Linked DNA regions of Anolis sagrei. The protein of the gene in region 1 purifies or fractionates together with the protein of each later gene. This does not show direct contact. Links are inferred from orthologs where the notes say so. Each region holds a gene or a part of one and is shown in the gene's direction. Other genes may lie near its edges. The genes, in order: EXOSC10, EXOSC2, EXOSC1 and EXOSC3.

What was found.
Region 2: the proteins of EXOSC10 (region 1) and EXOSC2 fractionate together in Homo sapiens (co-fractionation; 9 studies listed by BioGRID and IntAct, with this or other methods). This does not show direct contact. The link is inferred for Anolis sagrei from reciprocal best matches to the Homo sapiens genes EXOSC10 and EXOSC2.
Region 3: the proteins of EXOSC10 (region 1) and EXOSC1 purify together in Homo sapiens (co-immunoprecipitation; 8 studies listed by BioGRID and IntAct, counting the BioPlex papers as one, with this or other methods). This does not show direct contact. The link is inferred for Anolis sagrei from reciprocal best matches to the Homo sapiens genes EXOSC10 and EXOSC1.
Region 4: the proteins of EXOSC10 (region 1) and EXOSC3 purify together in Homo sapiens (affinity purification with mass spectrometry; 8 studies listed by BioGRID and IntAct, counting the BioPlex papers as one, with this or other methods). This does not show direct contact. The link is inferred for Anolis sagrei from reciprocal best matches to the Homo sapiens genes EXOSC10 and EXOSC3.

The regions. Positions count from the first base shown.
Region 1 is NC_090033.1:7,031,136-7,038,734, reverse strand, and holds the start of EXOSC10 (exosome complex component 10), read left to right. Parts: upstream 1-4,584; 5' UTR 4,585-4,665; coding exon 4,666-4,773; intron 4,774-6,541; coding exon 6,542-6,678; intron 6,679-6,930; coding exon 6,931-7,054; intron 7,055-7,160; coding exon 7,161-7,265; intron 7,266-7,338; coding exon 7,339-7,507; intron 7,508-7,599. Other genes in the region: serine/threonine-protein kinase mTOR, read right to left, coding at 1,115-1,223, 1,362-1,481. UniProt on the Homo sapiens protein: Catalytic component of the RNA exosome complex which has 3'->5' exoribonuclease activity and participates in a multitude of cellular RNA processing and degradation events.
Region 2 is NC_090031.1:2,833,500-2,840,415, reverse strand, and holds the start of EXOSC2 (exosome complex component RRP4), read left to right. Parts: upstream 1-3,916; 5' UTR 3,917-3,947; coding exon 3,948-4,066; intron 4,067-5,260; coding exon 5,261-5,362; intron 5,363-6,380; coding exon 6,381-6,426; intron 6,427-6,916. UniProt on the Homo sapiens protein: Non-catalytic component of the RNA exosome complex which has 3'->5' exoribonuclease activity and participates in a multitude of cellular RNA processing and degradation events.
Region 3 is NC_090023.1:217,772,384-217,779,233, reverse strand, and holds the start of EXOSC1 (exosome complex component CSL4), read left to right. Parts: upstream 1-3,849; 5' UTR 3,850-3,923; coding exon 3,924-3,951; intron 3,952-6,850. UniProt on the Homo sapiens protein: Non-catalytic component of the RNA exosome complex which has 3'->5' exoribonuclease activity and participates in a multitude of cellular RNA processing and degradation events.
Region 4 is NC_090023.1:155,253,455-155,260,906, forward strand, and holds the start of EXOSC3 (exosome complex component RRP40), read left to right. Parts: upstream 1-4,437; 5' UTR 4,438-4,481; coding exon 4,482-4,751; intron 4,752-7,452. UniProt on the Homo sapiens protein: Non-catalytic component of the RNA exosome complex which has 3'->5' exoribonuclease activity and participates in a multitude of cellular RNA processing and degradation events.

The DNA.
Region 1 (7,599 bases):
TGGTTGGAGTTAATAATTTTGGAAACACCAGTATAATATTAATGCCTGCGATCACTAACTACCTGCTTGCTGCTTTGTGATTAAAACCTGTTAATGAGATCTGAAGAGTAAGCTCTGATAAGAATTGGGACAGTGATAACAGAAATGTTTGCAACATTCCTTATGTTAAGAAGGAAGTCAACACAAGCCTTTTGTTTGTCAACACCAATCCAGAAGAGTCAACATCTGACCAGGAAACTGAGATGGATCCAGGATGGAAGACGTCTATTTAATTTACAACTTTAGGACTACATCAACAGAATATTTCTATAAAAGACTCGGCCTAATAATGCTCAAATTGTGGTAGACAGAGACGCTGTTCACCCTCCATGCTCTGCTCCATGGGAAGGAGAGAGATGTTGTATTCAGATAGTGGCAGATCTGCACGGGAGCAGTCTGGTTACTTTGGGGCTTCTTTCTCAAAGGAAGAGGAAGAAGTGCGCTTTTGGAGTCTTGGATTTTGTGCAGGGAGTCAGGTTCTGCTGTATGGAAAACAGATATCTGGTCCTTGGCATTGTTCTTAGGGAAGAAGTTTTGGCATTTCAGCGTTCTGAAGTTATGGCGTTATGGAAGTTTTGGAACTATGCGTTGGCAGGCTGCAGGAAATCAGGGTCTGGCCTAACAGGTGCTTCTCCAAGGAGGGAGAAAAGGATATAGTAATATTTGAATGCATGTGGATGAATGCGTGTACATGTGTGTAAATGTTGAGTGAAAATGTAATTCTCCTTTGTTTGTTTGTTAACCAATGTAATTGTGAATCCAATGTAGTTGCATAGAATCTGTATGTCCAATGTCATTCTTTGTCTAAATGTTTTTATGTAATCTGCAATAAAAAGAACCAACGTTTCAAAGTTATTGAAAAGTCATTCATGACATAATGGCCAAGGAGATTGTGCAGAATCTTTATTACTTTGCTTTATACCAGCACTTCTCAAGCTACCTGGCAGATCAGCCTTTCCAACAGTTACTGACGTAAGATTATCATATTATAACTGCTTCCTGTGAACTTGTCATAGGCTGACAAGCCTAACTAAACTACAGACCACTGATTTAGAGTGAAGACCCAGGTACTCACCTATAGCCAGAATGCCTCCTTTCCTCTCATTTGCATCTGAACTAGAGACCAACTCAAAGATGTGGTGATTCAGCTGGTCATAAAAACGAGTGGATTCCTCTTGGCTCATCTACACCAAAGGAAAAGAGGAAGAAAAAGTTCAGTCTCATGGGCACTGCTCGGACACAAAGAGGATGCGTGTTTCCGTCCTTTGGGCTCCTGAATTCAAAGCCCCGCATTCCCGGAGCCCCCCCCCCCTCTCTCTCACCTCTCGGAGCTCCATGGTCACATAATGCTGCAGGTCTTTGGCCGCTTTTGCCCGGGTTTCTTCATTCCTGCTCTTGAGGCCGGTGGCAAACTGCTGGAGGATAATGACGGTCCCCGACATGGTGGCGGTGGTGGATCAGAATCTATGGGGTTCTTTAGGGTCCTGGAAACAGAAGGAAACCATTCTGAAAAAGCCAAAGGAAGAAAAAGGCCGCAACGTAACACAGCAAGTGCCGCCATCCTCGGCAGCAGGCTTGCTATTATTATCAATATTATTATTATGATTATTTGATGCACAACAGGACTGGTACACAACAAACAAGATAATTCTGCTGGCTTTTGTATTCGATCACACATTGGACACTTTCCAAATGTCTAGGACTATGTGATGTATCGGCGAATAATGCGTGCAGATCCGAGTAGGCAGCAGTGTTATTAATATTATTATTAGTCTCCTGCTATTGTTCTTATTACATTATTAGTATTATCTTTATTATTATTATTATTATCATCATCATCATCATCCTTGGCAGCAGTGTCATTACTGCTGCTATTATTATTATTATTATTATTATTATTATTATCCTACTGCTATTGTTCTTATTACATTATTACTATTATTATTATTACCCTACTACTATTGCAATTAATTATTATCCTACTGCTATTTTTCTTATTACATTATTACTATTATCATCATTATCCTACTGTTATTATTACATTATTATTATCCTACTGCTATTGTTATTTAATTATTATTATTATCCTATTTTTTCTTATTACATTATTATTCCCCTCTTGCTATTATTACATTATTATACTACTGCTATTGTTATTATATTAATATTATTATCCTACTATTATTACATTATTATTATTACTCTACTGTTATTGTTATTCCATTATTATTATTATTATCATCCTGCTATTGTTCTTATTACATTGTTATCATCTTTATTACGCTACTGCTATTATTCCATTATTATTACCCTACTGCTATTATTATTACTATCCTGCTATTGTTCTTATTACATTATTATTACTCTACTGCTATTTTTCTGCTTACATTATTATTATCATCATCATCATCATCATCAGCCTACTGCTATTGTTATTACATTATTATTATTATTATTGTTATTATTATTCCTCTACTGCTATTATTATTACATTATTATTACCCTACTGCTATTATTATTACATTATTATCATCCTACTATTGTTCTTATTACATTATTATTATTATTATTATTCCTCTACTGCTGCTATTATTATTATTATTATTCTTATTATTATCCTACTGCTATTGTAATTACATTATTATTATCATCATCCTACTATTGTTCTTATTACATTATTATTATTATTCCTCTACAGCTATTATTAATATTATCCTACTGCTATTATTACATTATTATTATCATCCTACTATTGTTCTTATATGATTATTATTATTATTACTACCCTGCTGCTATTGTAATTACATTATTATTATCATCATCATTATCCTACTGCTATTACTACCTTATTATTATTATAACCTTACTGCTATTATTATTACATTATTCTTATTACCTACTGCTATTGTAATTACATTATTATCCTACTATTTCTTCTTCTTCTTCTTCTTATCATCATCATCATCACCATCATTATCCTACTGCTATTGTTATTACCTTACTATTATTACTATTGTACTGCTATTCTTATTACATTATTCTTATTACCTACTGCTATTGTAGTTACATTATTATCCTACTATTTCTTCTTCTTCTTATCATCATCATCATCATCATCATTATCCTACTGCTATTGTTATTACCTTACTATTATTACTATTGTACTGCTATTCTTATTACATTATTCTTATTACCTACTGCTATTGTAATTACATTATTATCCTACTATTTCTTCTTATTATTATTATTATAATCATCATCATTATCCTACTGCTATTGTTATTACCTTACTATTATTATTATTGTACTGCTATTCTTATTACATTATTCTTATTACCTACTGCTATTGTAATTACATTATTATCCTACTATTTCTTCTTCTTATTATTATTATCATCATCATCATTATCCTACTGCTATTGTTATTACCTTACTATTATTACTATTGTACTGCTATTCTTATTACATTATTCTTATTATTCCTCTACTGCTATCATTATTATTATTATCCTACTGCTATTCTTATTACATTATTATTATCATCCTACTATTGTTCTTATTACATTATTATTACCCTGCTGCTATTGTAATTACATCATTATTATCATCATTATCCTACTGCTATTATTACCTTATTATTATTATAACCCTACTGCTATTATTATATTATTATTATTACTTACTGCTATTGTAATTACATTATTATCCTACTAGTTCTTCTTCTTATTATTATTATTATCATCATCATTATCCTACTGCTATTGTTATTACCTTACTATTATTATTATTGTACTGCTATTATTATTACATTATTATTGTACTGCTATTGTCCTTATTACATTATTATTATTATCATTATCCTACTGCTATTGCCATTACATTATTATTATTACCCTATTGCTATTGCCCTCATTACATTATTATCTTTATTATTGTTGTTGTTGTTATTATCCTCTTCCCTATCAGCCATTTTATTAGTGTTATTAATACTATTATAACTATTTTTATTATCATTATTAATATTCGTGGCCATGTTAGACCTGCTATTGTTGTTAATTACTATTATATTATTGTTATCTAATAGTAATTAACATTATTATTATCCCTGCTCTCATGATCACTCACCTCACAAAGGATATTCTTGCTGTTCTGAGGTAAATTGTGAGGTAAATTCCGTGGTGGACATTCCCCTTCGTTGAGGGAAACCTTCTGAAGGGGAATTGCCCCCCAAAATGTCCTCTTTACTTCCCAAAAATTACCTTTTTTCGACTCACCTCTCTCCTCAGTCTCATCTTCGCCTTTTGCCACCCCGTTCTTTTGACTAGCCAATCAGCTTCTTCGAAATACTAAACAGACCAATAGGAAGGCGCGGCTAGGGTGAGTGACGGGCGTTGGTTCCTGCCCACCACGAAGACAACCTTTCCTTCTCCGCCTCCGCTCAGCGCGAGGGAGGGGCTTCTGGGAATAGACCAATCAAAGGAAAGAATAAAGAAGATCGGCATTAGGGAAACACCAATCAAATGCGTCTCTGGGAAATTTCGCGAGATTCAGCGGGAGTATGCTTTCTTTTCCAAGATGGCGGCTGTGTGAGAGAAGGAAGCGGCGCTCGCTGAGAAAAAGCGGCAAATGGCGGCGAAGGAAGGATTGAGCGGCCCCGACGAGGCGACGGCAATGGAAACCGACCGCGAAGGCTTCGTCCTGCCCGGATTTGGGGACGCAGATGCCTTCGTGAAGGTAGTTTTGAGGGAGGAGAAGGCCCCAGCGGGAGAGCGCATGCGCGCGCTAAGCATGCCGGGAATTGTAGTTTTCAGGGAAGAATGCCCAATTCATGAATCTTAGGCCTCACTTAAAGGATTCTGGGAAGTGTAGTCCTCCAAAAGGACCTTTTCCTACCTATTATTTCCTTTTTATGTCTGCTGGGCTTGGGTTTTACCCCTCAAAGGGAATCTTTTTATTTTAATATTGAATTGAAATAAAATTTTGTTATTTTTGTTATTTTATATTGATTTATTTCAAATTAAATATATTAAATATACAGTAATTATATTGTGTTAGTGTAATCTCTGCTTATTAATTTTATATGCATTCTAATATATTTATTTTAATTTGTCTTAACTTATTTTCCCCATAGAGAATTATATTATGATCTTAATATAATACGTATCCATCAGTTAGTTTTATATTGAGTGTGTGATATAAATAATTATATTTTACATTCATTTATTTTTCCCCCATTTGGAGAGGAGGATTCTGGGAGGTGTAGGTCTGAAAAATGAACATTTCCTTTTTATTTTTATATTTTTAATAATTTATAATTTATTTTCCATACACACACACACAGTTTATATAATTATTCCCATTTTATACAAATTTTTCCATATGTATATATATAGTTTATTGTTCCCATTTATATATATCATACTCTAATTTCCACCATACATATATACCTATATATAATGTAATTTTCCCATTGTAATCATATTTTCCTCATAAATATATTTAATAATTTAATAATTTTGCATACACACACACACACACACACACACACATTGTTTATATAATTATTCCCATTTTATACAATTTCCCCCTCATATATATACATATAGCCATCTGAGGGCTGAGAAAAACGGTATATAAATAAAGTAAATAATATATATATTATTTTTCCCATTTCTATATATTATACTCTAATTTCCACCATGCATATATGTATGTATATATAATGTATTTTCCCATTTTATACATATTTTCCTCATATATATATATTTAATAATTTATCATTTATTTTCCATATATATACATACATATGGTTTATATAATTATTCTCATTTTATACGTTTTTCCCTCATATATATATATATATATATATATATATATATATAATTTATTTTTCCAATGTCTATATATTATACCCTAATTTCCACCATACATATGCTATATACTTATATATAATGTAATTTTCCCATTTTATTCATATTTTTGTCATATATATATATATATATATATATATATAATTTATAATTTATTTTCCATATATACACACAGATAGAGGTAGACATTGATAGATAGATAGAGGTAGAACTGGATAGATAGATGTAGAAATGGATAGATAGATAGATAGATAGAGGTAGAAATTGATTGATAGATAGAGGTAGAACTGGATAGATAGATGTAGAAATTGATAGATAGATAGATAGATAGATAGAGGTAGAACTGGATAGATAGAGGTAGAAATGGATAGATAGATAGAGGCTGAAATGGATAGATAGATAGATGTAGAAATTGATAGATAGATAGAGGTAGAACTGGATAGATAGATAGATAGAGGCTGAAATTGATAGATAGATAGAGGTAGAAGTTGATAGATAGATAGATAAATAGATAGAGGTAGAAATTGATAGATAGAGGTGGAACTGGATAGATAGATAATTGTAGGCTGAACTATCTACCTTGAGTTCCCAAGGCTTCCTTTCCTGACGGTTGTCCTGCCCTTGCTTCCCAGCATGCCCTGGGCTCTGTGGTCTCTGTCACCAAGGCCTCCAATGGCCTCCCACAGCCGGGAGACGAGTACGACTTCTACCGCAGCTTTCCTGGCTTCCAGGCCTATTGTGAGACGCAAGGAGACCGGCTTCTCCAATGGTGAGTCTTGCATCGAATGTTGGAAGGGACCTCCAAAGGCCATCCAGTCCAACCCTATTCTTCTGCCAGGCAGGGGGCACCTTCCAAGCCCTCCTGACAGATGGCTATCCAGCCTCTCAGACATTGGAAGCTTCATAAGGCTATAGAAAATTGGAATCCTGGAGAAAGCAAACCTGCTTCCTCCTCCTTAGGACCTTCTTCCCAATATGTAGACATGACTCTTACGAAGCTGTATTCTGTACCATTTCCCAGCATGAGCAAAGTGATGCAGTATCACGGCTGCCGAAGTCACCTCCGGGACCGGAGCACCGTGACGGAGCTGGAGGACAAGTTCGACCTGCTGGTGGATGCCAACGACGCCATTTTGGAGCGCGTGGTGAGTGCGATCGCCCTGTATAAGTTGGAGGGCTTGGGTGGCAGGAGGGGGCTGGACTGGATGGCCTTTGGGGGTCCCTTCCGACTGTATGGCTTCATAATTGCAGGGCACGCTCTTGGATGAAGCGGCCGGCGTGAACAAGAACCAGCAGCCGGTCCTGCCTTTGGGTTTGCAGCCTCCCAAGACCATCGTTTCCAGCTGGAACCGCAAGGTGAACCTCCTCTTCCTTCTGTTTACATATTATGTGGGAGTGATGTTGTGCTAACGCCCATGTCTCCTCCCAGCAGAGCAGCGAGGCTAGCAAGCGGTCCCGGCCCGAAACCTTCCGCCTTCTCCACGCCAGGAACATCCTGCGCCCGCAGCTCAGGTTCCGGGAGAAAGTGGACAACTCCAACACCCCCTTCGTCCCCAAACTCTTCGTCAAACCCAACGCCATGAAGCCGCTGCCAGAAGGTGACCGAACGAGGGTCAGAAAGGGGCCTGGCTATGGCGGAAGGACAGGGCTTCCGGGAGCAGTTGTGGCCATCTGTCCTCCTGACTCTCAC
Region 2 (6,916 bases), on another chromosome or scaffold:
AGATGCCTGACTATATCTCCCATCAGTCAGGTGGGAGATTCCCATTGCACGGGAGATGTAGTGCAGGTCCTATCTCAGGCATGGGTAAACTTGGACCTTCCAGGAGTTTTGAACTACAATGCCCACCATTCCTAACAGCCTTTCCCCCTCAGCTGCTTAAGCATTATAACAATATATCTATTGGGACCTGAAGGTAGGCCTCTCCTAGATCTATCACTCTTATCATCTACCTGAAAATAGGCATCTCTTAGATCTATCACTCTATCACTACCTGAAGGTAGGCATCTCTTAGATCTATGATTCTATCATCTAGCTTAAGCAGTTGAGCGGGAAAAGGAAAGGGCCTGAGGCTGTTAGGAATGGTGGGAGTTGAAGTTCAAAACACCTGGAGGGAAGGCCAAACTTGGCCCATGCCTAATCTATCTCTTTTCATGGCACCCTTCAAAGCAAATTAAATTGAATGCAAACAGATGGAACGATAGCGACAATATCCATTCGTATCAGGATCGGATGTACAGATGCATCGCGGACAGCTTCCAGAGAATGATGGTCACTTTATATACGTATGTAATAATAATAATTAGAGTCATAATAATGACAACACTTCCTGTGTTTACAGAGCTTTGTTATTCTATGAGATTGTATTGGCAAACCGTTCTTTGTACCTCTCTTTACCCTCTTGGACTCCAAATACTGTAATTAATTAATAAATATATATATTTACCTGCAAATTATTGCCCTGGGGCTTGAGACCTGGGTTCAAATCCCTGCTCGGCCATGCAAGTTGCACTCTCTTGGCCTCAAGGGAAGGCAGTGCCCTCCTTTGTCATTGCCAAAGGAGAGGCTGTGTGGTTATCCACCTGGAGGTTTTTTGTGGTGTCTCCCTTCCTGGAAAAATTGGGGTTGACTTGGATGACCTTTACAGGGGGGGGGGGGTCATTTCTGTGGCATAATGTAAAATGAACCATGTAAAGTTCACGTTTGATCAGCCCACACACTGCCTTGCCAGAGAAAGAAAATATGCCACGCAAGTGAACAGTAAAGAACAAGTAGTTTACTGTATTGTTGAAGGCTTTCATGGCTGGGATCACTGGGTTGTTGTAGGTTTTTCAGACTATATGGCAAATGTTCTAGAAGCATTCTCTCCTGACATTTCACCTGCATCTATGGCAAGCATCCTCAGAGGTTGTAAGGTCTCACCATAGATGCAGGCGAAACGTCAGGAGAGAATGCTTCTAGAACATGGCCATATAGCCCGAAAAACCTACAACAACCGAGTAGTTTACTCTTTGTAGTTCAGAACAACATATGTACAATGTTATCAGTTGCATCAACTCACATAACGTCCTTTTATGAGAGATTTAAAGTGGTCTTACTCTGTCCATGTGGAGAAACCTTCCTTAGCAGCTCGCGAAGCAAGAGCACACTCCAAACTGTCTTCTCTCTGCTTCTCTCTTCTTCCCTCTCTGCACTTGCATAGCTCAAGCCTAAACAAAAACGTAACAGTTTCCGAAAGTCCCAGGCTCAGCCTGCTTCCCAATCAGCTTCATGCATCATATTTTACAGTTGTCACACACACACACATGAACTGATTCCTTGCATACTCCAACAGTTTCTACCTTTATGATTCCATAATAGGTTTGCTTAGATGGAAATTAAATAGAATAATTTAATTAATTAATAAAATAATTAAATAATTAATTAAATAAATAAATTTATTCAAATTAAACTAACTAAATAAATTAAATAATTATATAAATGGGAATAAATTAAATAGAATAATTTATTAAATAATTTATTTAATTAATAATTTATTTAATTTAATAATTTATTTATTTACATTAAATTAAGTAGATGTAATAAGGATGCCTTTTATTCCATTTATAAATCATTGATAAAGATATCAAAGCCCAAAAATATAAACTTGTGAAGGGTTTGGTCAGTGGAGGAATTACATTCGGTAATAACGCAATTGAAACAGCACTACCTAGCCCATCATCCCCCAGCACGAATGCAAGAAGATGGCAGAGAAATGTCGACAACATCAACTTTCATAAGGTGCACCAACACTTTCATGGGATGCATCTACACTGTGGAATTGATGCAGTTTAGCACCGCTTTCATTTGCTATGGCATCCTGGGAGTTGTTGTGTTGCAAGTAGAGAATGATGGGATGCCAAGATTGAAGCTTCCATAGGGGGAAATGAGATGGAATAATCAACTCAGTCTCCTGCAACTCCAGCAATGGACACTTGAGGGCAGCAAAGGATTGCAGTTGGAAACCAAAGGGTTATTGCAAGTCTGCTCAATGGATTAAGGCTTGCAATAAGGATTGGCCATAGAAGGTCATTATGCATATGCAAATGCGAAAAAAAATAATCAGAGAAGAGTATCCAAAATAATTACTTATATATAGCATGGTCTTTGCAATAACAAAAACAATATGTATCTATAGAAGGAAGGAGGAATTCCCAAAGAATAACGTTGCTGTGAGTTTTCCGGGCTGTCGGGCCATGTTCCAGTAGCATTCTCTCCTGACGTTTCGCTCACATCTATGGCAGAGGTGGTGAGGTCTGTTGGAAACTAGGAAGATTGGGTTTATATACCTGTAGGATGATGTTCCGGGTGGGAGAAAGAACTCTTGTCTGCTTGAGGCAAGTGTGAATGTTGCAATTGGCCACTTTGATTAGCACTGAATGGCCTTGCAGCTTCAAAGCCTGGCTTCTTCCTGCCTGGGGGGAATCCTTGGAGGTTGTGAGGTCTGTTGGGAACGAGGAATTAATCAGGGGCCCTGATTAATTCTTGTCTGGAATTCAAGGTAATACCTCCCAACAAAGGATTTCCTCCAGGCAGGAAGCAGCCAGGCCTTGAAGCTGCAAGGCCACCCAATGCTAATCAAGGTGGCCAATGGCAACATTCACACCTGCTTCCAACAGACAAGAGTTAATAATAATAATAATAATAATAATAATAATTTAAAATAGATCATCTGGATAAAAAGGAAATGTTTAAGAAAGCATGCCAATATAATGCACATGTCATATATTATTTGTAAAATAATAATTCAAATATAGAATTGCATAATAATAATAATAAGTCGCCGATTTAGGCTGAAAAATGCGGTATAAAAATAAAGCAAATAAATAAATAAATAAATAATAATAATAATAATAATAATACATTTATTATGAATAAATTTGAAATAGATAATCTGGATAAAAAGGAAATATTTTTAAAAAGCATACCAATATAATATGTATGTCATATATTATATTATATATAAAATAATAATCCAAATATAGAATTGCAAAATAATAATAATAATAATAATAATACATTTATTATGAATAAATTTGAAATAAATAATCTAGATAAAAAGGAAGTTTTTTTTAAAAGCACGCCAATATAATGTGCATGCCATATAATATATTTTATATATTTTATATTATATATTTTATGTTATGCACATGTCATATTATATATATATAATATATATATATATAATGCGCATGTCATATATTTTATTTTATATATTTTATATTATATATAAAACAATAATCCAAATATAGAATTGCATATTTAATAATAATAATAATAATAATAATGCATTTGTTGTGAATCAATTTGAAATAAATCATCTGGATAGAAAGGAAATGTATAAAAAACACTCCAATATAATATATACAAGTAATATATTACATTATATAATAAATTTTATTTTATTTACTCATTTTATTTTATTTATATAATATATTTATATATGAAATCCTCCTTGCCCAACAGTCATGAATTTGGGAGTGTGGGTCTCACTCACCATCCTAGGCGTGCAATACGGGCAGGGACCGCCAGAGGGCGCCGAAGGGAGAGCCTTCCATAGAGTCCCGAGGCCTCTCCAGGCGGGACCGGAAGTCGAAGCCTTACCGGAAGCTTGGGTGCCCTCATCCAAGATGGCGGCGGCGGTGGAAGTGCGGCTGCCGGTGGCTCGGAAGCGCCTGGCGAAAGGCGACGGGGAAAGGGACTTGGTGGCCCCCGGAGACACCATCACCACCGACCCGGGATACATGAGGTGAGGAGGAGGAGGAGGGGGACTGCAACTCCCATCACTCCCAGGAAGGGCATAATGGGAGCTTCATCATCTCAGTGTTGTGTCTGGAAGAGGGCTACAAGTGATGCTTTTGGGAACCTCTGTTGACTGAGTGATGGGAGATGTAGTTCATTGTGTTTGGGGGGCAACAGAGGGGATAATGGGAGCTTCAGCTCAGTGTCGTGTCTAGAAGAGGGCTACAAGTGATACTTTTGGGAATCTGTATTGACTGAGTGATGGGATATGTAGTCCACTGTCTTTGAGAGTCTATAGAGGAGACAATGGGAACTTCAGCTCAGTGTCGTGTTCGGAAGAGGGCTATAAGTGATACTTTTGGGAGCTTCTGCTGACTGAGTGATGGGAGCTGTAGTCCACTGTGATTGGGGGGGAGATATAATGGGAACTTCAGTTCAGTGTGGTGTCTGGGAGAGGGATATAAGTGATACTTTGGGGAACCTCTGTTGATGGAGTGATGGGAGATGTAGTCTACTGTGTTTTGGAGAGATGATGGGAACTGCAGGTCAGTGTTGTGTTGGGAAGAGGGCTATAAGTGATACTTTTGGTAACTTCTGTTAACTGAGTGATGGGAGATGTAGTCCACTGTGTTTGGGGGGCCATAGAGGGGGAAATGGGAGCTTCAGTTCAGTGTCGTGACTAGAAGAGGGCTATAAGTGATACTTTTGGGAGCTTCTGCTGACTGAGTGATGGGAGATGTAGTCCACTGTCTTTGGGAGGCTATAGAGGGGATAATGGGAACTTCAGCTCACTAAGTCAATGATGGGAGATGTAGAGGATCCGTGTTAAGGAAGGAATGTCGTCAGGTGACTGTGGGAAGGAAGGAGATCATGGGAGCTTCAGTGTATTGGATGATGGGTGATGCAGTCTGCCATATGAAGTCTGCCATTATCAAAGTGACAGAATGGCCTTTTTCCATGGGTTCAATTTAATTCATTCTCCAAAAATATTATCTCTAAATATATCTATATATATATATATACCTAAAATACATGTAAATGTATATCTATATATCTAAATATATCTAATTATATCTGTTTATACCCCTTACCTCAAACAAAGTCTGCTCAAAATATGAGCATAAGGTGTATTATTAATATTATTATATTAATGAGAACTTTAAATCGTAGCCAGTGACGTATATTCTTTTATGTCCCTAAGGGGCCACGGGACGTATTTGGGGGACGAGAAGCTGATTGCCTCGGTGGCCGGCCTGGTGGAGCGGGTGAATAAGCTGGTCTGTGTCAAAGCCCTGAAAACCAGGTGAGCTCAGCCTATTGTGGTTATTATAATGACTATATTAATATTATTGTTGCCTATATTAACTAGTATTATAATAACTACTAGTTAATATAGGCAACAATAATATTAATATAGTCATTATATTGACTATATTAATATTATTGCGAGATACCTCTACAGCTGTGTTTATTTTGTTATGTGAATTTAATACAATCACAGAATCAAAGAGTTTGAGTCTATGCTCTGCTTAAAAACACCCAGAGAAGGAGTCACAAGGGCAATCTATTCCCTTGTGATCTACTCACATTTGCATGTTTTCAAACTGCTACGTTGGCAGAAGCTGGGGCTAACAGCGGGAGCTCACCCCGCTCCCTGGATTCAAACCTGTGACCTTTCAGTTAGCAAGTTTGGCAGGTCAGGAATTTAATCCACTGTAAGGAGGGGCAGATAATGAATTATTATTATTATTGTCGAAGGCTTTCATGGCCGGAATCACTGGGTTGTTGTAGGTTTTTTCGGGCTATATGGCCATGGTCTAGAGGCATTCTCTCCTGACGTTTCACTTGCATCTATGGCAAGCATCCTCAGAGGTAGTGAGGTGAGGATGCTTGCCATAGATGCATGCAAAACGTCAGGAGAGAATGCCTCTAGACCATGGCCATATAGCCCGAAAAAACCTACAACAACCTATTATTATTATTATTATTATTATTATTACTATTCTTCTACTACTACTACTAAAGGGGTCTTACAGGCTGCAATTCTTTTGCCAGGTGAGTGAAATGCAACCCACTTTCATTAGACATCCAGGAAGTTCCAGAAAATAGATTTTTTAAAAAAATAACATCTATTTAATATGCATTGCATTCTGTCACCATACATATTAAATAAGGAATATTGGGGTGGCTGTCTCAAATATTGTGGACCTCATATCACTGTCTAAGAAAACGACAATGCTGCAAATAAGAGTGACGAGCTGCAAGGAGGCAAGGTAATAAATTTATGATGTGATGATTAATTATTTTGTTCTGTTCTTCAGGTATAACGGTGAAGTCGGAGACATTGTGGTAGGGCGCATCACTGAGGTAAACAAGCCAAACTTCTGGCTTTTGCATCTTGAATACATCCAAAGCTTTCCTTAGGTAAAAGTTTCCCCTTGACATTAAGTCAAGTCAAGTCCGATTCTGGGGGAGGTGCTCATCTCAGTTCCTAAACCAAAGAGCCAGCGTTATCCATAGACACCTCCAAGGTCATGGGGCCACTGATAGAACTGCAAGGAGCGCTTTTACCTTCCTGCCAAAGCAGTGCCTATTGATCTACTCACATTTGCATGTTTTTGAACTGCTAGGTTGGCAGAAGCTAGAGCTAACGACGGGAGTTCACCCCATCTCACGTATTCAAACTGCCAACTGTCCAGTCAGAAAGTTCTGCAGCTTAGCGGTTTAACGCATTGCACCACCGCAGCCCTTTCCTTAACGTTATCATTATTATTATTATTATTATTTTCCTTAACATTGTTATTATTATTTATATCCCACTTTCTTTCACTATAAAAGAAACACCAATTATTATTGT
Region 3 (6,850 bases), on another chromosome or scaffold:
CCGTTATCTTCCCACCGGAGCAGTACCTATTGATCTACTCACATTTGCATGGTTTCAAACTGCTATGTTGGCAGAAGCTGAAACTAACAGAAGGAACTCACCCTGCTCCCCAAATAAATTTTAGTTTTATCCCGACTTTCTCCCAACATAGGGACTCAAAGCAATTAACAGCAAACATGACACAGTACAATTAGAACAGGACAAATGCATTAATTAAAATAGGAATATAAAAACTATAAATGCAATCAAATCCTTATATCACGGAACATAACAAATATTAAAATACATTTAAAACTACACAGCTCCCCAAAAATCTCATTCAGCAGCCTGCAGGTCCTTCCACACAACCATATAACCCAGAATATCAAGCCAAAAAGTCCACAATATCTGCTTTGAACTGGATTATCTGAGTCTACATTGTCATATAATCCAGCTCAGTGTGAATTTTATACAGCTGTGTGGAAGGGGGCCTGCCTCTCGTCGATTCCACAAATGTACAATGGAAGAGGAAAGGTTTTACCTGCTTATGAAAGGCAAGCAATGATGGTGTCACTGGGGGCCCTTCCACACAGCTGAGTAAAATCCCACATTTTCTGCTTTGAACTGGAATATATGGCAATGGGAACTCAGGGCCCTTCCACACAGCCCTATATCCCAGAATATCAAGGCAGGAAATCCCACATCATCTGAGTGTGGACTCAGAGAACCCAGTTCAAAGCAGATATTGTGGAACTTTTTGCCTGCATCTTCTGGGATATAGAGCTGTGTGGAAAGGCCCTTAGATAACCCAGTAGATATTGTGGGATTTTCTGCCTTGATATTTTGGGATATAGGCTGTACAGAAGGGCCCTAGGTGTCTCTAGGGAGGGAGTTCAAGAGTCTGGGAGCAGTGCCTTTACATTGTTTCAATTGGCATTGTTTTGTATTTGTTGTTAGCTGGCTTGAGTTCTTCTATTGCAGGCATGGGCAAACTTCGGTCCTCCAGGAGCTTTGGACTTCAACTCCCACAATTCCTAACAGCCTACTAGCTGTTAGGAATTATGGAAGTTGGACTTCAAAATGTGTTGGGGGGGCATCGTTTGCCCATGCCCGCTATATTGGGAAAAAGGTGGGATAATAAAATAAACAAATAAAAATAAAGTAAATAAACAAAGACTGGGTGATAAAAGACCTGGCTTCAACTTGCAGGAAAAGTTATTCCACCTGAACATGAGGAAGAACTTTCTGACTGTGAGAACTGTCCAGCAGTGGAACTCTCTGCCCCGGAATGTGGTGGAGGCTCCTTCTTTGGAGGCTTTTAAACAGAGGCTGGATGGGCATCTGTCGGGGGTGATTTAAATGCGATTTTCCTACTTCTTGGCAGGGGGTTGGACTGGATGGCCCACGAGCTCTCTTCCAATTCTATGATTCTAAGCAGAGGGTGGCTGGCCATGTGTTGGGAGTGCTTTGATTGTGTGCTCCTTCATGGCAAAATGGGGTTAGAGACTCAATGGCCTTTTGTGGTCTCTTGCAATCCTATAGATTCTTTTCTATGGCTGTAAGACCTTCCCCCGTACAGTGAGCCTGTCTCTGGTGGAATCATAGCATACTGTCTATATGTGGCACATTAATATCCACTCTCACAGACAGATAGAGAGGCATTGTCTTCCCAGTTGCTCCCAGAGGTCATCCCCTCCCTTTCGGCCAGCTGGGCAGAGCTGGCAAGGTTCCTGGGCACAGATTACCAGTGACTTTTGAAGCCCCTTTGCCAGATGGCAGCATCAGCGTCACAGGGGGAGATTATCACCACTGAGATGCTCCCAGGGAGCAGGGGATGCGTGGGAGGCTTAATGGGTTCCTTGCAAGCAGAGGAGGAATGCCCTCCATGCCATCAGAGCCTCATCCCTTCTGAAGGGGAAACAGGACAACTCCAGTCATCACCCCCTTGAAACAGTCTACACTGTAGAGTTAACGCAGTTTGACACCACTTTAACTGCGTGGCTCAATGCTATTGGAATCCTGGGATTTGCAGGCAGGTAAAGCAGCAGCACTCTTTGTCACAGAGCTAGCATTGAGCCAGGGCAGTTAAAGTATCAAACCTCAATATCTATAGAAATAAAAATGTAATGTTCGTTTGTGGGATTAACATAACCCAAAAACCACTGGACGAATTGACACCAAATTTGGACACAAGACACCTAACAACCCAATGTATGTCCTTCACTCAAAAAATGGATTTTGTCATTTGGGAGTTGTAGTTGCTGGGATTTATAGTTCACCTACAATCACAGAGCATTCTGAACCCCACCAATGATAGAATTGAACCAAACTTGGCACACAGAACTCCCATGACCAACAGAAAATACTGAAAGGGTTTGGTGGGCAGTGTCCTTTGGTTTTGGAGTTGTAGTTCACCTACATCCAGAGATCACTGTGGACTCAAACAATGATGGATCTGGACCAAACTCTACACGAACACTCCATATGCCCAAATGTGAACACTGGTGGAGTTTGGGGAAAATAGAATCTTGACATTTGGGAGTTGTAGTTCCTGGGATTTATAGTTCACCTACAATCTCAGAGCATTTTGAACCCCACCAACGATAGATTTGGGCCAGACCTCCCACACAGAACCCTCATGTGGGCCACAGCAACGCGTGGCAGGGGATGGGTAGTCTATATAAATAAAAATGTAATGTTCGTTTGTGGGATTAACAGAACTCAAAAACCACTGGATGAATTGACACCAAATTTGGACACAATATACCAGGCATGGGCAAACTTGGGCCCTCCAGGTGTTTTGGACTTCAACTCCCACAATTCCTAACAGCCTACCGGCTGTTAGGAATTGTGGGAGTTGAAGTCCAAAACACCTGGAAGGCCCAAGTTTGCCCATGCCTGCAATATACGTATCAGGCCAATGAGTGACCATCACTCATAAAAACACTAAAAAACACAACAGAAGAGACTAAAAAAGCAAAAAATAGAAAATAAAAATACGTTACTTCCATGCGCAAAACCATATATATGTGTGTGTTTGTGTATATATGTCTGTCTGCTTATATATATATATATATATATATATATATGCAGACAGACATATATAAACACATACACAAATATATACACACACATAAAACTCATATACACAGACTGGGCCACATCAACGCGTGGCAAGGGATGTTTAGTTATATATAAATAAATACCCCCTTGGAGCAATCTACACTGTAGAATTAACACAGTTTGACACCACTTTAACTGCCCTGGCTCAATGCTATTGGAATCCAGGGGTTTGTAGTTAGATGAAGTACCAGCACTCTTTGGCAGAGAGCTAGCACTGAGCCAGGGCAGTTAAAGCGGTATCAAACCGCATTTATTCTACAGTGTAGCTGCACAAACCGGAGGAAGAAAATACTGCACATCCATTCATAAAACCTCTTAGAAGCTGGAGGTTAATATGGGGAAAGCCAGGTCATTATGAAGGGAAGGAAGGAAGAGAAATCATCACAGCCTCCTCTTTGTGATTGAAAGGGTGGAGGGATGCCAAAGGCTTAGCTATGGAAGACGAGCTCCAAAATAACAATGGAGAGGAACAAAGGAGACTCTCTCCTTTAGGGTTCAAAGCATGCAACACAACGAGGCCAAGGCACGGAGCTTACCTGTTCCTGCCATCCTCAGCCCCAGACGCTTCCCGGTTCCTGCCTCACCTGAGCATCTTCTCTCCCACCCTCCCTTTAACAGCCCCGTCCGCGCATGCACGCTGCATGTCCCGAATGGAACTACGATTCCCGTCATGCCCCGCGCGGCGCCTAATACTCTTCCTCCGACATTTTTTCTCTCTCTCTCTCCCGGACGTCTCCCAAACCGGGGCGAAGCAGTCACGTGACCACGAGAGTAGCCAATGGGAGGCTCGGAGGCCTGGCTGTGGAGAGAGCCTTTCTGTCATGGCGCCCGCGCGGTTTTGCGTCCCTGGTGGGTGACCCAGAATGGGGAATGGATTGGATTGGCGGAGTCTTCGAAACGTGGGAGGGGGCCTCAGTTTATGGAGACATCGTGGGAGAGAAGAGAGCCTTCTGGAAATTGTAACTTCTATGTTTTGGCTGTTGAAAAGGCCAGTGCCATTCTAGGCCGCATCAATAGGAGTATAATGTCTGTATCAGGATCCAAAATGGCTTTTGAACAGGTTAGAGTCGGCATAGGCAAACTTAGGCCCTCCAGGTGTTTGGGACTTCAACTCCCACCATTCCTAACAGCCTCAGGCCCCTTCCTTTTCCCCCTCAGCCGCTTAAGCAGCTGAGGGGGAAAAGGAAGGGGTCTGAGGCTGTTAGGAATGGTGGGAGTTGAAGTCCCAAACACCTGGAGGGCCCAAGTTTGCCCATGCCTGGATTAGAGAGATGGGCCAAAACTAGAAAGAATTCCATCAGGGAGAAATGTAAGGTTTTTACACCTGGGCAATAAACATGAAATGCTTTAGGATGGGTGACAACTGGTTTGAAAACATGTGAAAGGCATCTAAAAGTCTTAGTCGACCACACGCTGAATGTGAGTCAATAGTGAGATGCAGCAACTAAAACAGTCAATGCGATTCTAGGCTGCATCAATAAGAGGATTTATTTATTTATTTATTTGGGGTGCTTCTACCCCGCCCTTCTCAACCCCCTAGGGGGGACTCAGGGTGGCTTACAAAAGGCACAATTCGATGCCTAACAATTACAACATACAATACCATATACAATACACAAATTTACCACATAATATCACAGTTATAACTAATTAAAACCATCAGACAGTATACTAGCAACAATAAAAACATCTTGTGGTCAGTGTTCACCAAATCCAAGTCCGTAAACAATTTAGCATTGTCATTGTCCTTTCCTACTCTGGTCATTCTTGGTTGTCTTTTTCCATCTGCCAGCTTACCCGAAGGCCAGGTCCCACATCCAGGTTTTTAGCTTCTTCCTGAGGGAGAGGAGGGATGTTGATGTCCTAATTTCCCCGGGGAGTGCATTCCACAGGTGAGGGGCCACCACCGAGAAGGCCCTGTCTCTCATCCCCACCAGTCTCGCTTGTGATAACGGTGGGGCCAAGAGCAGGGCCCCCTCAGCAGATCTTAAACTCCAGGGTGGGACGTAGAAGGAGATACATTCGGACAGGTACGCTGGGCCGGAGCCGTAAAGGGTATCAGAATCCAAAATGGTGTAGAGATCAAGGGAAGTCCTAGCCCCCCCCCCCCTCTATTCTGCTTTAGTCAGACCTCACTTGGAATAATAATCCAAGTAATAATAATTGAAAAGAGATATTGACAAGCTGGAAGGTTCTGGCCCAGCCTACCTGTCTGAACATATCTCCCTCTATGAACCACCTCGGAGGTTAAGATCTTCTAGGGCTGAGACTTCCACCTTGGTCCATATATCAAACGGAGAATGTATTGGGAATCTCACATCAGAACAACATACTTTATGTGTGACCAAGACCCAAAAATTACATATAAAACAGCTCTGTACTTAAGCAAAACAATACGTCTGAGAACCACATATGTAGGGCTGATTGGGGGTAAATTGTAGGGGTGATAATGAAATATGATGTATATACTCATCTTGATAAGTTTATCAGTTTTATCACGTCTTATATTTATTTACAGTGTTGTTATAAGTGTCGTATTTTAACTTACTAAGTGGAGTGTGATAAGGTCTTTTCAGTCCTTGTTGTTTTCTTTCTTATTGTGATATGGCCTAAGGGCTAATCAATAACATTACTTACTTACTTCTAGGGCAGTGGTTCTCAACCTGTGGGTCCCCAGGTGCTTTGGCCTACAACTCCCAGAAATCCCAACCAGTTTACCACTGTTCTAGGGAGACCCTGCTCTCGGTCCCACCTTCGTCACAGGTGCGGCTGGTGGGAACGAGAGACAGGGCCTTCTCAGTGATGGCTCGGCTGTGGAACTCACTTCCCAGGGCCCTTCCAGATAGGCCCTTTATCCCAGGATCAGATCCCAAGTTTTCTGCTTTAAACTGGATTATGAGTCCACACTGCCAGATAACCTAGGATAAACAGATAATCTGGGATCATATCCTGGGATGAAGGGGCAGTGGGGAAGGGGCCCCAGTGAAATCAGATCAGCTCCCTCCCTCCGGACCTTTAGAAAGAAACTAAAAACCTGGCTATGGGACCAAGCTTTCGGAGAAGTCAGTGCAATAGGCAGCTGTGAAGTAATTGCAACACAATTGGAATGCCTTCTGGATTATGACTTCGGATCTTATGTGGTTTTTAATAGATATTCTATTATTTTTAAAATTTGTATTGATTTTAGTGTAGGTGTATATTGTATTTGTATATATTTGTAATTACTGCCAGTTTGGAAGCTGCTCTGAGTCCCCTTTCAGGGTGAGAAAGAGCAGGGTAAAAATACAGTAAATAAATAAATAAGGCGTCCACAGAGAAGGGCTACCAAAGTGAGCAAAGGTTTGGAAACCGAGTCCTATGAGGAGCCACTAAGGAATGTGAGTGTGTTTAGCTTGGGGAAAAGAAGGCTGAGAGGACATGAGAACCATGTGTAAATATTTGAAAAGATGTCACATTGAGGAGGAGAAAAGTTTTTTCTGCTGCTCTAAAGATTAGGACATGGAGCAGTAGATTCAAACTGCAGGAGAAAAAGAGTCCACCTAAACATTCAGAAGAATTTCCTGATGGTCAGAGCTGTACGGTTGTGGAATATATTCTGATAGTCTCCTTCTCTGGAGGTTTTAAAGCAGAGGCTGGATGGCCATCCCTTGGGGGTGCTTTCATTGTGTTTTCTTGCATGTCAGGGGGATGGATTGGATGGCCCTTTAGGTCTCTTCCATCTCTGTGATTCTACAATTCATGGGTCCAG
Region 4 (7,452 bases), on another chromosome or scaffold:
GCTGGGGGTGGTGACGGCCGACAGGGAGCTCTGGCGTGGGCTGGTCCATGAGGTCACGAAGAGTCGGAGACGACTGAACGAATGAACAACAACAACATTTGAATATTCTGGAGACTATTTGAAGGTTTCTTCCAACATGCTTAGTGATCCATAAGTTGTTGCTGTTGTTGCATGCTTTCAAGTTATCTTTGACTTAGTTTGACCCTAAGGAAACCAGATGTTCAGAGGCGATTTGCCTTTTTCTTCCTCTGAGGCCGAGATAATATGACTTTCCCAAAATCACCTAGTTGGCTTCTGTGGCTGAGGAAGGATTGACATTGTAGTCCCCCAGTGTCATAGTTCAGCACTCAAACCATCAAACAAGCAGAGGCTTTATCAACTTAGGGGAAATTATAACTTACACAAAACTCTTGTCGATTGAGTTTTTTGTGTGTTTCTACTGTCAGCCAGATGGTGTCACCACTGCTTAATAAGCCAAGAGCAAAATACTCTTGCCCTTTGCTTATCTCATTCCAGCTAAATGAAAACAGTGTAAGTTAAACATTCGTGTTTACAAAAAACTGTAAAAATGTTTGACAGGAAATAGTTTATGTACATTGTAAAAATGAGCCATCTACACATGGCAGTTGTATGTATTACATATGCTGAAATGCCCAATTTCTACTAATGGCAATAAAGGTGTTACTTCAATAATGGGATGATGTGTAGGTCGATCAACTTTCTTGGAAGAAGAGGTTCTCTCATCTGCAAAAGCAGGAGAGAAAAGGAAAAGATACCAAGGCTGTCCAGTTGGTGGGATGAAAGCTTGGTCAGACACTTTTAGAGAGCCACTGACAGTCAAGTAGAGCGCATCAAGATGGGCTAGTAGTAGAATGCGCCGTTGTATCAACTTCTCTGATTTTGGCTACCAGGTTCACTGTCAAACATCTTTTAAAATAGTGAGCAGGTATGTACTTTGGCACAAAACAGTATGAACCAAACTGTTCTAGTTCCCAAGACAAATATAAAAAGATTTATCGTGACTTTCCAAATACGTGTTAACTAGTTCTATGCCTTTGCCAGATAGAGAAAAACAAGCAAAATTGCCTTGGTTGATGTTCCATACCAAAAAGGAAGACAGTATAGGAAGAGATTCAGCAACCAATTGGGGAAACCTGACACTTCATGTCTTTTTGTTCTATTTCACACATTCATTGTGAGATGCTGAGGAGAAATTCTATATGAGAAGTCACACAAGAATGTGTTCAATCAACTTTTATATTTGGGCTTAGTAAATAAAACACTGTGATGTTTTATACAAAGCTTATGTTTCCCATATTTGCCCCTGACATCCCCGTTGCCTCGGCACTATAAGAGGGTTGTGTGAGGCCAGTCACTCTTGTTGCAATGGTGTATTAACGGTGATGCCATGGATCATATTTTTGTTCTTTGGAACCACTGGTGGTCCATGGACCACTGATGTAGTTAAGATTGTGCTGGAGGACTTAGACAGATTCACAAACACTTCTGAGGGGTTGAGATTGTGGGCACTGAATCCGTCGATAAGAGGAATCACACTGTACAGACAATCCCTGAATTACATGCATTCAACTTACAAATAACTCAGTTATAAATAGTTAAGGCTGGGAGTGAGACAACAGGTAGTGAGAGAAATCAACCTCTTGGAAGAAAACATCACTCCTGGAACAGTGATCATAGAGTAAAGGTGTCTCCACTGAGGCTTTCTCACCAATCTTTGTGTCCACAACAAGCCAATTTTTGTTCAAAATCCAATTATCAGAGACAGAGAGGCGACATCTCCTGAACAGGCAGCAAAACAAACATCATAGGGGTTAGGCCAAAAAGGACTAAGCAATGTTTTTATACTGTCTAAAGAAAAGGGAGTTTCTAGGATCTTAGCACAACTAAGATATCCTCAGTGGCCGGAGGTTTAGGGAATTTTAATGGTATATGTTAGTATACTTGGGAAGTCTGATCTGGCCACAGTGTTCCATGCTCTGGTTATATCCCAAGTAGATTACTGCAACACACTCTATGTAGGATTGCCTTTGAAGACTGTTCGGAAACTCCAGCTAGTCCATTACTCACCGGAGCGTCATACAGGGAGCATACCACCACCACCCCGCCCTGCTGTGTCAGCTCCATTGGCCACCAGTCCATTTCCGAGCACAATTCAAAGTGCTGGTCTTGGCCTATTAAGCCCTATACAGTTCCGGCCCAGCTTACTTGTCGGAATGTATCTCCCTCTACATTCCACCTCATAGTTTGAGATCATTTGGGAAGGCCCTGCTCTCAGCCCCGTCAGCTTTGCAAAAGCGTTTGGCAGGGACAAGGGACAGGGCCTTCTTGGTGGTGACCCATCATCTGTGGAACTCGCTCCCCAGTGAGATAAGGTCGGCCTCGTCTCTCCTTTCTTTTATTAGGAAGAAACTGAAATCATATTTCTGGCACCAGGTCTTTGGATAGGCATGATAACACTTTGGATGTAGAACTGGATTGGAAGTGGCTATGTGGTTCAATAATAACATTTTAAATTGTTTTAACTTACGCTTTTTATTGTTTTTAAATTGTTGCTATATTTGTTGTATCTCTCTGCATGTCATGGCATTGAATTGTTGCCAGTGTTGCTAGCGTAAGCCACTCTGAGCACCCCCTTGGGGGTTGAGAAGGGCAGGGTAGAAATGTTGGAAATAAAATAAATAAATAAATGTTGTAAATTATTAATTTGTTTTATATGGGTTATGAAATGTGCGATTTGTTTATTTAGTTTATGTTTCTGTTGAATTTTTTGTTTGTAATTTTTTATTGGTTTTTAACACTGTACGTTGCTTTGAATCCCACCCACGGGAGAAAAGTGGGATAAAAGCATTTGCAAATATTGAGTAATGGACATAGGAAAACGGAACAACTATACGATGTAATTGGACAATGTTTTTATTGAGGATTTACTGATTTACTTTTGTATTGTTGTTGTTATGATTTTATTGACGTTAATGTCTTAAATTGTATTTGTACTCTGTGGCATTGCCTTGTCACCGCAAGGCTGAGAGGGGCGGTATACAAATAAAGTAAATAAATAAATAAATGGAGGCCCCCGGTGGCACAGTGGGTTAAAGCACTGAGCTGCTGAGCTTGTTGTTCGAAAGGTCGCAGGTTCAATTCCGGGGAGCGGCGTGAGCTTCCGCTGTCAACCCTAGCTTCTGCCAACCTAGCAGTTCGAAAACATGCAAATGTGAGTAGATCAATAGGTACCGCTCCGGCGGGAAGGTAACGGCGCTCCATGCAGGCATGCCGGCCACATGACCTTGGAGGTGCCTATGGACAACGCTGGCTCTTTGGCTTAGAAATGGAGATGAGCACCACACCCCAGAGTCAGACATGACTGGACTTAATGTCAGGGGACTACCTTTACCTTTACCTAAATAAATAAATATAAATAGCACAGTTGATCCAACTCAAAACTGGAGTGATTTTTTAAAACCATAGTTGCAGACTTCCACAAACATTTAAAATGAAATATTTCGTGAATAACAAACCTAGTATTGTCGAAGGCTTTCATGGCTGGAATCACTAGGTTCTTGTAGGTTTTTTCGGGCTATAGGGCCATGTTCTAGAGGCATTTCTCTATGTAGTCTGACAACACAGAAATGAGAACACAGAAATGCTGGACCACTCCAACAACCACCATGTCAGACTACACAGAGAAGCCATTGAAATCCACAAGCATGTGGACAATTTCAACAGAAAGGAGACCATGAAAATGAACAAAATCTGGCTACCAGTATTAAAAAAAACTCTAAAATTACAACAACAAAACAGCAGAGAGGAAACAACCAGGCACATCTTAACACCTCTCAACAGAACATTTCCCCAGGCTCAGCCAGGCCTTCAAATGCTAATGAAGGTGGTCAGCTGAAACATTCACACCTAGCTTCAGCAGAGAGCTCTTTGCCCCACCCCAGCCATTCCACAGATATATAAACCCATTGTCCTATTTCCAACAGACCTCACTACCTCTGAGGATGCTTGCCATAGATGCAGGCGAAACGTCAGGAGAAATGCCTCTAGAACATGGCCCTATAGCCCGAAAAAACCTACAAGAACCTAACAAACCTAGTGTTCCAGAAACTGGCCTTCCAGGTTGGGACTTCAGTTCCCATAATCCCTGATCATTGGCCAAGGCAGCTGAGGCTTCTAGGAATTGAAGTCCAAAACACCTGGAGGTGCAGAGTTTGGGAATCTGCTGTGTATTCAGATTACAAGGCAAGAGAGTCTCGGAAAAGGGACGCCTGGTACTCCTTGTCAAAAGGCCTGGCTGCAGCCAACGACAAACGGAGGCCTCCAACTGCCAGCATTCCAAACTTTTGTCCGTCGCTCTTTGTGAACGTCGCCAGTTCCAAGGAGACCAGTGGAGACAGAGGGTTCTGAGCTACGCATGCGCAAACGGATCCCGCGAGACCTCAACGGCCGCTCGCGCAGTCATGGCGGACGTCGGCGCCTGCGAGGCCCAGGAGCGGGTCGGGCGAGTAGTGCTGCCGGGGGAGGCGCTGCTCCTGCCGGGCCACGCAGAGGCGGACAGCGAGCGGCTACGCCTGTCGGCCAACGGGCCTCAGAAGGGGAAGCTGGTGTGCGGGCCGGGCCTGAGGCGCGGTGGAGAAGGCCTGCTGGTTACGAAATGCGGCCTACTACGCTACCGCGGCCCCGGAAGTGGCTCTGGAGGCGTTTATTGGGTAGACTCTCAGCAGAGGCGGGTAAGGAAGCGCGAGGGCCAGACTGCGCATGCGCGCTTGAGCACTTCTTATATGTACCCTATGGGAGTGGAGCGCTGTCTAAGAGTTGCTCAAGTAAACTGACAGAAGGATTTTGTTTATATATAACGTTATACCAAGTGCTGTAGGTTATATAGTTTGCAAACAAATTAATCATATGTGGCCTAAGCAATGCTACAATGAGGTGGATCTATAATTGGTACTAAATAATAATAAGGCAGGGAGTTTCAGAAAAACATCTATTTCTGTTTTATTGACTATTCTAAAGCCTTTGACTGTGTGAATCATACTAAATTGTGGCGAGTTCCTGGTGGTATGGGGATGCCAAGCCACCCTGTCTCTCTCCTGAGGAATCTGTATAAGGACAAAGTCGCAGCAGTAAGAACTGACCATGGAACAACAGACTGGTTCAAGATTGGGAAAGGCGTATGACAGGGTTGTATACTCTCCCCCAACCTATTCAACTTGTATGCAGAACACATCATGTGATGTGTGGGGCTTGAGGAGTACAAGGCTGGGGTGAAAATTGCTGGAAGAAACATTAACAACCTTAGATATGCAGATGACACCACTTTGATGGCCAAAAGCGAGGAGGAGCTGAGGAGTCTTCTAATCAAGGTGAAAGAAGAAAGCACAAAAGCTGAGTTGCAGCTAAACATCAAAAAAACCAATATTATAGCAACAAGAATGATTGACAACTGGGAAATAGAGGGAGAAAACATGAAGGCAGTGACAAACTTCGTATTTCTAGGTGCAAAGATGATTCCCTGGTTGCAGACGCAGACTGCAGCCAGGGAATCAGGAGACGCTTACTTCTTGGGAGGAGAGCAATGACAAACTCTGGTGCTGGAGGAAAGTTCTGAGAGTGCCTTGGACAGTGAGAAGATCCAACCAGTCCATACTTCAAGAAATAAAGCCTGACTGCTCATTGGAGGGAAAGATAGTAGAGGCCAAGATGAAGTACTTTGGCCACATCATGTGAAGAAAGGAAAGCTTTGGCCACATCATGTGAAGAAAGGAAAGTCAATTATGCTGGGGAAAATGGAAGGAAAAGGGAAGAGGGGCCAATCAAGGGCAAGATGGATGGATGGTATCCTTGAAGTGACTGGATTGACCTTGAAGCAGCTGGGGTGGTGACGGCCGACAAGGAGCTCTGGCATGGGCTGGTTTATGAAGTCACGAAGTGTCGGAAACAACTGAATGAACAAAATAATAATTATTATAATAAAACTTTATTTATACCCCGCCACCATCTTCCCAAGGGGACTCGGGACAGCTTACATGAGGCCAAGCCCGACAATACATCACATCAGTATAAACCAACACAGCAATAAAATAAAACAAAAAATACAATACAATACAAAACCATTATAAATAACATATCAGCAATAAAACAACATTTAAAAACACAAGGATCCAACACTGGACAGGGCCAATTCAACTAGATTAAAAATTTTAAACACTGGATGTGACAACAGTGAAATTAGTCTGAACAGGTGTTTTAGAGGGTAGGGTAGGGGTGATTGCCCCAACAGGTAGAATAAAGTGCTACAGAGGATATTTTGCAGAGAATTGGTCAGATCAGGGAATTATTCATCTTTCATTCAGGGAAGGCACATTGGAACAAGCAAGTTTTCAAGCTCCTAAAGACTGCCAATGGGGGAGGGGTTCCTAATATCTTTGGGGAGTGAGTTCCAGAGTCAAGGGGCCACTACAGAAAAGTCCCTCTCTTTCAACCCCACAAGTTGCACCTGTGAAGATGGCTCACCAATGGTTCCTCTTCATCCTGGAAAGAAGTGACTAGTGGGGTGCCACAGGGTTCTGTCCGGGGCCCAGTACTGTTCAATATTTTTATTAATGACTTGGATGAAAGTTTAGAGGGCATGCTTATCAAATTTGCGGATGAAACCAAATTAGAAGAGATAGCTAATGCTCCAGTGACAGGATCAGAATCCAAAATGATTCAACAGATTAGAGCGCAGATTGGCCAAAACTAACAAAAAGAATTTTGACAAGAACAAATGTAAGATACTACATTTAAGCAGAAATCCACAGATGACAGGATGGGGGATGCCTGGCTTGACAACAGTCCATGTGAGAATGATCTTGGAGTCTTCATGGACAACCAGTTGAACATGAGCCAGCAGTGTGGTGAAACAGCTACAAAAACCAATGGGATTTTGGACTGCATCAAAAAGGTGTATAGTGTCTAGATCAAGGGAAGCCTTTGTGTTCTGCTATGGTCAGCCCTCACCTGGAATACTGTTCAAAAGAGATAATGACAAACTGGAAGGTGTCCAGAGGAGGACATCTAAAATGATCAAAATTCTGGAGACCAGGCCTATAAGGAGCGTCTTAAAGTACTGAGCATGTTTTGCTTACAGAAGAGAAGGTTGAGAGGAGACATGATCACTATGTATAAATATATGAAAGGATGCCATAAGGAAGAGGGAGCAGGCATGTTTTCTGCTGCCCTGGAAACTAGGATTCAGAATAAAGGGTTCAATTACAGGAATGGAGATCCCACCTGAACATTAGGAAGAATTTACAACCCTGCCCTTACAAGCTGTTCAGCAGTGGAACTCTCTGCCTTGGATTGTGGTGGAAGCTCCTTCCTTGAAAGCTTTTAAACAGGCTGGGTGACCATCTGTCAGGGATACTTTGGTTGTAGTTTTCCTGGATG